Linked DNA regions of Oryzias latipes. The protein of the gene in region 1 purifies or fractionates together with the protein of each later gene. This does not show direct contact. Links are inferred from orthologs where the notes say so. Each region holds a gene or a part of one and is shown in the gene's direction. Other genes may lie near its edges.

Evidence for each region.
Region 2: the proteins of kdm8 (region 1) and rccd1 purify together in Homo sapiens (co-immunoprecipitation; 3 studies listed by BioGRID and IntAct, counting the BioPlex papers as one, with this or other methods). This does not show direct contact. The link is inferred for Oryzias latipes from reciprocal best matches to the Homo sapiens genes KDM8 and RCCD1.

Annotation. Positions count from the first base shown.
Region 1 is NC_019866.2:7,579,103-7,583,417, reverse strand, and holds the start of kdm8 (jmjC domain-containing protein 5), read left to right. Parts: upstream 1-1,503; 5' UTR 1,504-1,646; intron 1,647-2,396; 5' UTR 2,397-2,420; coding exon 2,421-2,876; intron 2,877-3,289; coding exon 3,290-3,462; intron 3,463-4,315. UniProt on the Homo sapiens protein: Bifunctional enzyme that acts both as an endopeptidase and 2-oxoglutarate-dependent monooxygenase.
Region 2 is NC_019864.2:22,113,509-22,117,928, reverse strand, and holds rccd1 (RCC1 domain-containing protein 1), read left to right. Parts: upstream 1-1,372; 5' UTR 1,373-1,485; coding exon 1,486-1,684; intron 1,685-1,766; coding exon 1,767-1,970; intron 1,971-2,254; coding exon 2,255-2,417; intron 2,418-2,854; coding exon 2,855-2,976; intron 2,977-3,065; coding exon 3,066-3,170; intron 3,171-3,376; coding exon 3,377-3,517; intron 3,518-3,611; coding exon 3,612-3,641; intron 3,642-3,741; coding exon 3,742-3,935; 3' UTR 3,936-4,010; downstream 4,011-4,420. Other genes in the region: unc45a (protein unc-45 homolog A), read left to right, coding at 1-53, 139-420; cib1 (calcium and integrin-binding protein 1), read right to left, coding at 4,177-4,198, 4,301-4,389. UniProt on the Homo sapiens protein: Plays a role in transcriptional repression of satellite repeats, possibly by regulating H3K36 methylation levels in centromeric regions together with KDM8.

The DNA of each region.
Region 1 (4,315 bases):
TTGCTTCAATGCTACATTGTGATCACACACACTGACGTGTCGACATCAGCGTAAGCGAAGCTGCACTGTCAACAGATCTCTCATTTGTTTGGTGCTGAATGATCCTGCCTGATCATTTGAAAAGAAGGAGATCGGAGATGAAATGATCTCCTTAGTTGCAAAAAGAAAAGAAAAAAGCAAAAAGTAGTACACTTGAAGTATTTTTTGTTAAGTATGCATGAATGTAAGTATATCAAGCATATTATAGATCAGAGGTCTGCAACATCTAAAGTGAAAAGTGTAACTTGGGTCTACATCTTAACACCTAAAAACATGCAAGAGTTGCAAAATTCCACTTCACTATTAAGAATAAATTATATTTTTGTGACAATCAGGCCACTCATTCATAAAACGGCATAACGGCTGCACAGCTTTAAAATGTTTTCAATATTTGCAGTACAGCTGTTTAATAAATATATAGCAATAAAAATGATATATTTTTCTATTTATAACAATTTTAAATCTTTTTACTTTTGAAAGTTAAACAAAAAGTTCCTTTCAAAATAAAATGCATCCTATGTCAAATAAGACAGGGCTAAAGTTGCAAGAATGCCAAGTCAAACGTGACATTTACCATCAAATGACTTCGGTGCACTGTCATCCTTTTTCCATTTCCTTACTATCCAAAATAAGCATGACAAGATTGGTGCAGAATACTGGTATTTTTTTTTAGATCCAAAGGCTACTGCAACCAGGAGCTTTGCCTCTGAACATCAACCAGACACTTTGTACAGCCAAAGATAGTAATATGTGCTTTATATGCATCCATATCATCTTGCTCAGTTATCTGACATGTTAAAAATCGAAACATAAATAAAAACCTAACGAAAATAAATGTACCTAAACAAACACCCTACTGTGCATTTTTCTTCAAAACCAAAAAGTCATGATGAAGGGACAAAAGAGTTGCATGTGGCTCCAGAGCCACAGGTTGTGGACTGTTGCAGACCATGTAAGTGTAGAGTAGGAAGTATACTGACTGAATACTTTTTAAGACTAAATTGTTACATTTAAAGTTTACAATATATGCTAAAGGTAGTAAATAAAAAATAAATGTCAATTATAGTGTCTCAATTTCAGCATTCACCAGGCCCAAGAATACTTGTAGTAAACTTAAATAGTATGTTTTGCTAAGGGGAATATTACTGCACACATGCAATACCATGCAAATGACAATTTAAAAAATGTTTAGAGTGTGCATATTCATATTCTCTACAGGTGTACTAAGATTTGAGCATAAAAAATGCAATGCCACTATGATTTTACAACATAATTGGTGTGTAGGGTGAATACACATTAAGGAGCTTCTTAAAAATGAAAGGGTACAAAATGTAATGTTATCATATTTTTTCAAGTGTTACATCATGTACTTTTGTAAATATTTAAAAAGGTTTTCAGGGATTTCGCAGTGTTTTTTGACATCTTTGAACCCTAGATGGAACGAATGTTTCCCGCCGCTGAGTTTCCCTCCGGTGGGGTTTTGTCTGCCCACCGGCAGCGGATTTTTGTTTTGCACCTTCGTTAGCTGTCAAACCTCTTTTTTAAATTAAAAGTAATAATGATAAAATAAAAGATCTGATAAACAGTTTAAAATCTGGATGTGGAAGGTAAAATTTATTGTATTTATTTCCAATTCAGCAGTACGTCAATACGTGTTTTCATTTTGAATAATTTACGGTAACGGTGTAATTTAATTTTAAATATCCTGGGAGTATGGAACTCAAAAGGTGTTCTGTGTTTTTGCAGACTAATTAAATTACCTTAAAGCAACAATGCTTTGTTTTGTAACGTGGGTACCTTTTAAGATTGAATCTAGAAATGGTATAAACCATAGTTACAACATTCTATTGAAAGGAGCAATTATATACATTATATATGCTAAAATAAAAAAGATCACGTGTTAAAATCTATTTTGTGGGATTTTCTACAATCTGAGAGAACCTCGGGGTCAAAGTATTCCATAAAACCATTTTTTTTTCAGCTTAGTCAAGTCAGTACTATTTCCACAGCCATGTTTGTGTCTGTGTAGAAAGGAATCAGGTGCTCAGAGTTTGCCTGTTGGCACCTTTGCAGGAACTGATGGAGTCATGCAGAGGCAGCATTCCAGAGAGCCTGCTGCAATCTTGTCATTCTGCCTGAGTCTCATGCACGGTTCTGGCTCACTGTAGCCTCACCTGTGTGCTTTGTTTGCCAGTTTGCAGGCTGTTGAAGATGAAATAAACAAGCATCCTCTGTGAGGATGTGCTGATAGGAGGCAGATTTTTTGCACTGATTGCCCATAAGTGATCCCATTCCAGCCTCTGAACCATTGTGAATGTATATTTAACATTTTCTTGTGTTCTTTTACCTGTGTTCAGAACAGAAAGACACTCTTCTGATCGATGTCGTCTCTTGGGTCAAAAATCCTCTCCACTCTGCCGGCTGATGAGGAACAGTTCCCTCTGCAGTTCAGCGACAAAGTAGACCCAAGCGTGGTGGAAGTACTGAGGCGCTGTCGGAAGCAGTTGTACGGTAACGCGACGTGCGCCAGCCAGGGGCTCAACGCCCAGATCATTCTAGACATTTCATGGGAAAGATTGAACACAGGGACGTGGCGCCACGTGGACAAGGAATGGAGACGGGTTTACTCGTATGGCTGCCTCTTCAAAGTGGCCGCACTGTGCCGAGAAAATCCATCACAACAGGAGATCCTGGAGGCCGTCAGGACTTGTGACATGGGTTTACTGATGGGTGCGGCCATCATGGATGACATACTCCAGGTTCTTGTTCGAATTCTGCAAAATGAAATAAGCGAAACCAGTAAAGACGAGGAGAAAAGTGTAGAAGTTGTTGCTAAGGTTTGTTATGATTTTCGACACAAAATTACTAAATGTTTTTGTCATTTTGCTCCATCGCTGGTTTTTATTTTTCGCACATGCTAATCCTTTTCATTTCTGGTGGCATTTCATGAAAAAATTGATGCATAAAACATTTTTTTCTATTCCTTTTGCACTTGCCTTTCTCAGACCCGACATGGCTGAGTTTTTTAAATTCACACTTGATAAATGCTCTTTCAAAACTAGCTGAAACATTCAAGGTTGCTGCGAAGAGCTGCACAAAGTTCAAGGATTTTTGGTTATTTCTTCCTCCTGCTGCTTGTTTTTTTTTTAAGCTTGTTTTTTTTTTTATGTTAAGAGGGAGAAAATAACCTTTTACACAGTCCAAACCACATTTCATTGACATGCACGTCTTTTTGTTCTGTCACGAACAGAAATTAAAGACTGAGGGCCCCCGCAGTCCTTCAATCAGAGAAGAGAAGGCAGTGCCCAGGATCAAGTGTCCTTCCCTGGAAAGCTTCAGCACAAACTACCTGCTTCCCCTCAAACCGGTGATTTTAGAAGGAATCATTGACCACTGGCCCGCTCTCAACAACCACCCCTGGAGGTTTGTTTTATTCTCAGGAAACACTAAACTATGGCTGTCAACAGGGGGAAAAAATCATATTTGACTTGTGTTTCCCATTTTTTTTTTTTATTTTGATAGTTTGTAAAACTAACAAGTCAAAAATGTCTTGTTTTTGAAACAACACAGTCTTTCTAATGTTTAGAGTTCTCTGATGCTGCTGAGATGACTGAAACACGCAGAGGAGCATGAGAGTCCTTCATGCTGTGTACAAACATTTACAGGTTTAAGAAACCATAAATAAAAGTTGACATAGTGATGCTGTTTAAACAAAAACGTTTTTTCCCCTGTATTTTATGTTTTAATTTTCAAGAACACATTTTCATCTTTTAAAACAACGCCCTCCAATCATTCTGCAAGCTTTATTAATTTTTTTAAAAATAAACTTGACATCATTTTTGCAAGGATGTCGACCTGATTTATTCAAAGCAGCTTTCTAACTACTTCTTGTGGTTCGATTCTGTCAACCAGCATGACAAAATCCCAGAAAGAAACTTGTAGGTAATAAAAAGCATTAAAAAACAAACAAACTCCATAGGAAAAAACCTTATGAAACCCCAAGGATGGAAATATTCCCCCCAAAAAAGTACAAATGTGCTCAACTACAAGCTAGTAAACCGATTAGGTCTGGTTTAAAACAATAGATTCAAAAAATTCCTGTATTATTTCAGGGACAAACACTGAAATTGAAGGAAAGTAGCAATGGCAGCTATAAAATAAAAGCATGGGGTGGGATTCCCCTGAAGTGTCCTGTGACACTTCAGAAGTGAGAAGTGGGACAAATATTAGAGTTCTGTTCTGCAGAAACAACAGAGTAAAGGATTCTGGGTGTTAT
Region 2 (4,420 bases), on another chromosome or scaffold:
TGGCCATGCTGACGTCTGAGCAGCCTGAGCTCTGCAAACGCATTCCTGGAACTGTATGGAAATCACTCTGACAACATTCTTACGTGCTGGTGTTATAGCTGACTTAATGTTTTACACTCTTAACCTCTCTCTTTACAGACCACTCACTGGTTGGAGATAATGCAGGCTCTACTGCTCTGCGAAATATCTGACCTGCGTCATCGTGGGGTGGTCATTGTTCAGAACATGATCCAGGCTGATAGAGATCTGACTGAGAAGCTTATGGAGAGTGAAGTCCTGGAGATTCTTACCGTCCTTGCTAAGGGAGGAGAGGGCACATCTGATCCGGTGTCAAAGATTGCCAAGGACTGCCTGGACAAAGCAGTGGAGTATGGCCTCATCAGAAGCAGAGAGGGGAAGATGGAAGGAACTGAGCCCTAACAACACGGCTGCAGTGTGTGGATGTGACACCTAGGAGTTGTAATTTACATGAAAGAGGAAATTTTATTACAACTGAAAGTAATTTATGAAAGGTCTCTTAAAAAAACAAACATGTGACAGAAGAATTTGAGTGTTGTCAGGCTCTCATATTATGTGGCTTTTGACCTTCAAAATTACTAAATCCACTTGAATCCACTTCTGTATTATACATTTTCTACTATTTTGGTCTTGCTTTTTTATGTATTGCCTCTAATTTTAACATGTCTTTCTTTAAATATGAACTGCTAAAGATCTCACAATCACATGATGTACTTTGTTTAAAACGTTTATGGCACAATTATTTCCACTACATTCCAGTTCTTTATGTTTAGTTTGCTCTCAAGGCAATTTAGTTTAAACATGTGCACAGAAAAGCAAAATTTATATTTGGTAACGTTTTGTCACATGTATTTTCTTACCTTATAAATCGGTTATCTAATAAAGTTGAACACATTTAAATACATGCAAACTACCTGGTTATTTTTTATTTTACTCTGCTTTAAAGAAAATATTAACTTCTTCCCTTTTCAATTTTTTATACACTTCCAGAAACTGTAACTGCTTATTCTAGACTTGCATCTTCATCCTTATGGCATTCCTTTTTCTTACATGTACATTTTATTTTTCTTTATGACCCAAATTAAAATGGGTAATAATATAGCTTTAACTTGTATTTTTAATCAGTTGTATTAAAAAACATTGGGGTGGACTAATACAAAGTTTTCATTTGTCTGTTCGGTTTTCATTTAATTCAGATTTTAAAATGAATCATGCTAAAATTACCAACAATGGATTTAAAAATGACAACCTATTTTGTTTTTTTCTATCACTTTTTTTTATTTCTAATTTTAAAATACTACGCTATTGTCAACTACTTCTTCCTTTTTTTTAAATAAAGTTTTTTTGAACGGGGAAAAAAGCTATTCAAAAGTACAACAACGCATGCGCAGACGTTTCCGAATCGTCTTGTATCTACTGCCCAAAAGTTTCTGAAACAAACCCTTTAAAGACGCAAAAGCCGATGTAATGCGCTGGTTTGGGTTTGGTTTTAATGCTTTTCAACAAATTCAAACCCAAAATAATCCAGAATACAGCGGCCTCGATGCCGAGGAAAGGCTGAGCAGTCCGACTGAGCTGAAAGGTCACGTGAACAGAGATGGTCGCTGTTTTGAGTTTAGTCAAATCCGAGCAAGCTGGAGCAGAAGAGCATCGCTGCATTCGGATGGTCAGATTTCAAAATCCCGATTGAAACAGTTATTTATTGATTTTTGTTTTCTAGGAATAACATTTTTGTTGTTGTCTATCAGACGCCGGCTGCGTGTGTGTGGCAGGTTTCGTTAATGACTCTTGCAGAGGAGTTATAAAACAAAGCCGTGGCTGCAGAGATGTTTTCATCAGTGAGTCCCACCTCACACTCGCTTTCCTGGACAGAGTTGAGTGCTGGGATCTGCAGAGCAGCGATGAAACTCCATCATGGACCATGGGCATTGACACCCAGTCAAAGAGCTCTGGTCAGTTGCATCTTGTTTAACCCTTGTGCCATCCTGATCCTATGGGGTCAAGATGACCATTGACGTGTTATTCCTACCATGACAAAGGTGGAGAGGATTTCATGTAATCCATGGAAACCAGTGAAGATCACAAACCATTGAAGAAAAAAGTTCAGCGCACTGTCTGGTGGGGTCTAGATGACCCCACTCCCAATGTTAAAATGCCTAGGATAGCACAAGGGTTAAATAACAAACAGCAGTGTACTCAATGTCTTTGCTTTCCTTATGTTCTTATTTTTTTTTAGCAGCTGTCAATTTGCCACTGGTTCCTGGTGGTTATATAGCCTCCAAACCTCCGTTCTTCCACTCCTTGTCACCTCACATGCAAGCCAAGAGCCTCGCTTTGGGTGGAGAGCATGTCATCCTCCTCACTGCAACTGGAGCTGTTTACACTTGGGGACAGGGAAGGTACAGCAGGAGCGTCCTGCTAACTAAACACCATAAATCACAAAGTTACCTTAAATGTTTACACAAATGCTAAAACAATCTCATGGCAGTGTGAAGCATACATTAACGAATTGCATAGCTTTATGCATTTGACCAATCGGATGTCATTAATCAATTGAATGGAGCCCTGTTATGTTAGATGCCTGCCTGCCTGCCTGCTATGTAGTTGAGGGTCATTTGGAGTATATTTTAAGTGGTGTTGACTTATTGAAGTGAAATGGGGATTATGTTTTATTTGTATTTTGTTCAGCTATTTGTTCATGTATTGCAAGTCATGTTGTGAATATTGATCACAGCAGTTTCCTTTTCATGTTGTGCAGCCCTAATTGTGTGTATCTCTGTGTGTTTTTTTAATAATTTGTTTGCATGCCTTTTTTTAATTTCATTTTTTATGACAGTCATGGTCAGTTGGGACACGGAGGACTCCTCCCTGAGGAGGAGCCCAGGACAGTGGAGGCTCTGTGGGGGATGAAGATGAGCTCTGTATCTGCAGGAGGATGGCACTCTGTCTGCATTAGTGGTAGGCCCTGAAGGCATCGCAGGTGCAGTGTAAAAGTGATAGAAGACATTTTTGACAACAAACTGAACTGCGTTTATATTCCTTCTTAGATGCTGGAGACCTTTATGTGTGGGGCTGGAATGAAAGTGGACAGCTTGGACTTCCATCACAAAGGCTGAGAAAAACTTCAGAAAAGAAGACGGACCAACAGGAAGGTTTGCAAGCAATACATTATTTTTTTCTACTGTTCAATATAAATAAAAACTAATATTTAAGATGAACAAAAATCAGTTTCCCATGCTAAGAACAGCATTAGCTATAAGAAAGAATAGAAATGCCACTGCCTAGGTTTTTATTAAGTTGCTTTAGATGTCCATTGTCATATCTTAAAGTCTTTTGTGTCATTATCTACGTTGAATAGGAGAATTAAGCCAAAATAGCAGCACACACCAGGAAGAAGTATTCATTTCAATCCAAGCGTTCCCAGCCCTGTTTGATGTCACTCCATTATGTGAGGTCAAAACAGTGAGTTGTGGCTCACGGCATACAGCTGCAGTAACAAGTAAGAGTCTCTTTACAAGGTTTATGTCCATCTTAGATCGATGTTTGACAAATGTATGTCAATAATCTTTTTTTTTTGTTATTTCTGATTTCAGCTTCTGGGGATCTTTATACTTGGGGATGGGGTACGTTTAACCAGGCTCAAACTTTTAAGACCACCAATGAAATTGAGATGTGGTGTTAAAGCCTATATCTGTATGACTCCTCATTGCGTTGTGTTTTCAGGTGAATATGGCCAACTTGGACACCAATCATTTAGCAGTTCAGATGAGCCCCAGCGTGTGGAGTTTTTTAGGGCGCAGCAGCTGCATGTTGTTGGCGTGGTGTGTGGCCCCTGGAACACCTTTGCTGCAGTTGCCAATGAGGAAGGACTTGCTCCTGAATATCCCACAAAACCTCTCAATAAACATGGAGAGTAACATTTTATACCAAACAAGTATTCTAACAATTGAGATTTTGTATTTATTTAGTATAATAAAGACGTTGGAAATTAAGCACAATGTATAATAAACTATTTATATACAGACATTAAAAAGAGCTTAGAAATTTTAATTCACAAGTAAGTAGAAATTTAAGGCGGAGCTGTGAAAATCATTGGACTTATAACTGACACTACAATGAAAGTTACAGCTGAGTATTTCTGTGATCCGGTCAAGGTCTTTACAGCACAATCTTGAATGAGCTGCAAAAACAAAGTTATAGAAAATGTTAGAACATGCAGAACGATGCTGAATGAACTGCAAGGGGATATAGTAGTGATGACATGGATAAAGGCTTCATTCACCTGACAAAATCTGGTGATCTTGAAATGACATGCTGAAATTCAGAGAGGTTCACGGTTCCATCCTTGTCAATGTCTGACTCTTCAAGAATCTAAATGACATTCAAGGGAGATTAAGCTTCA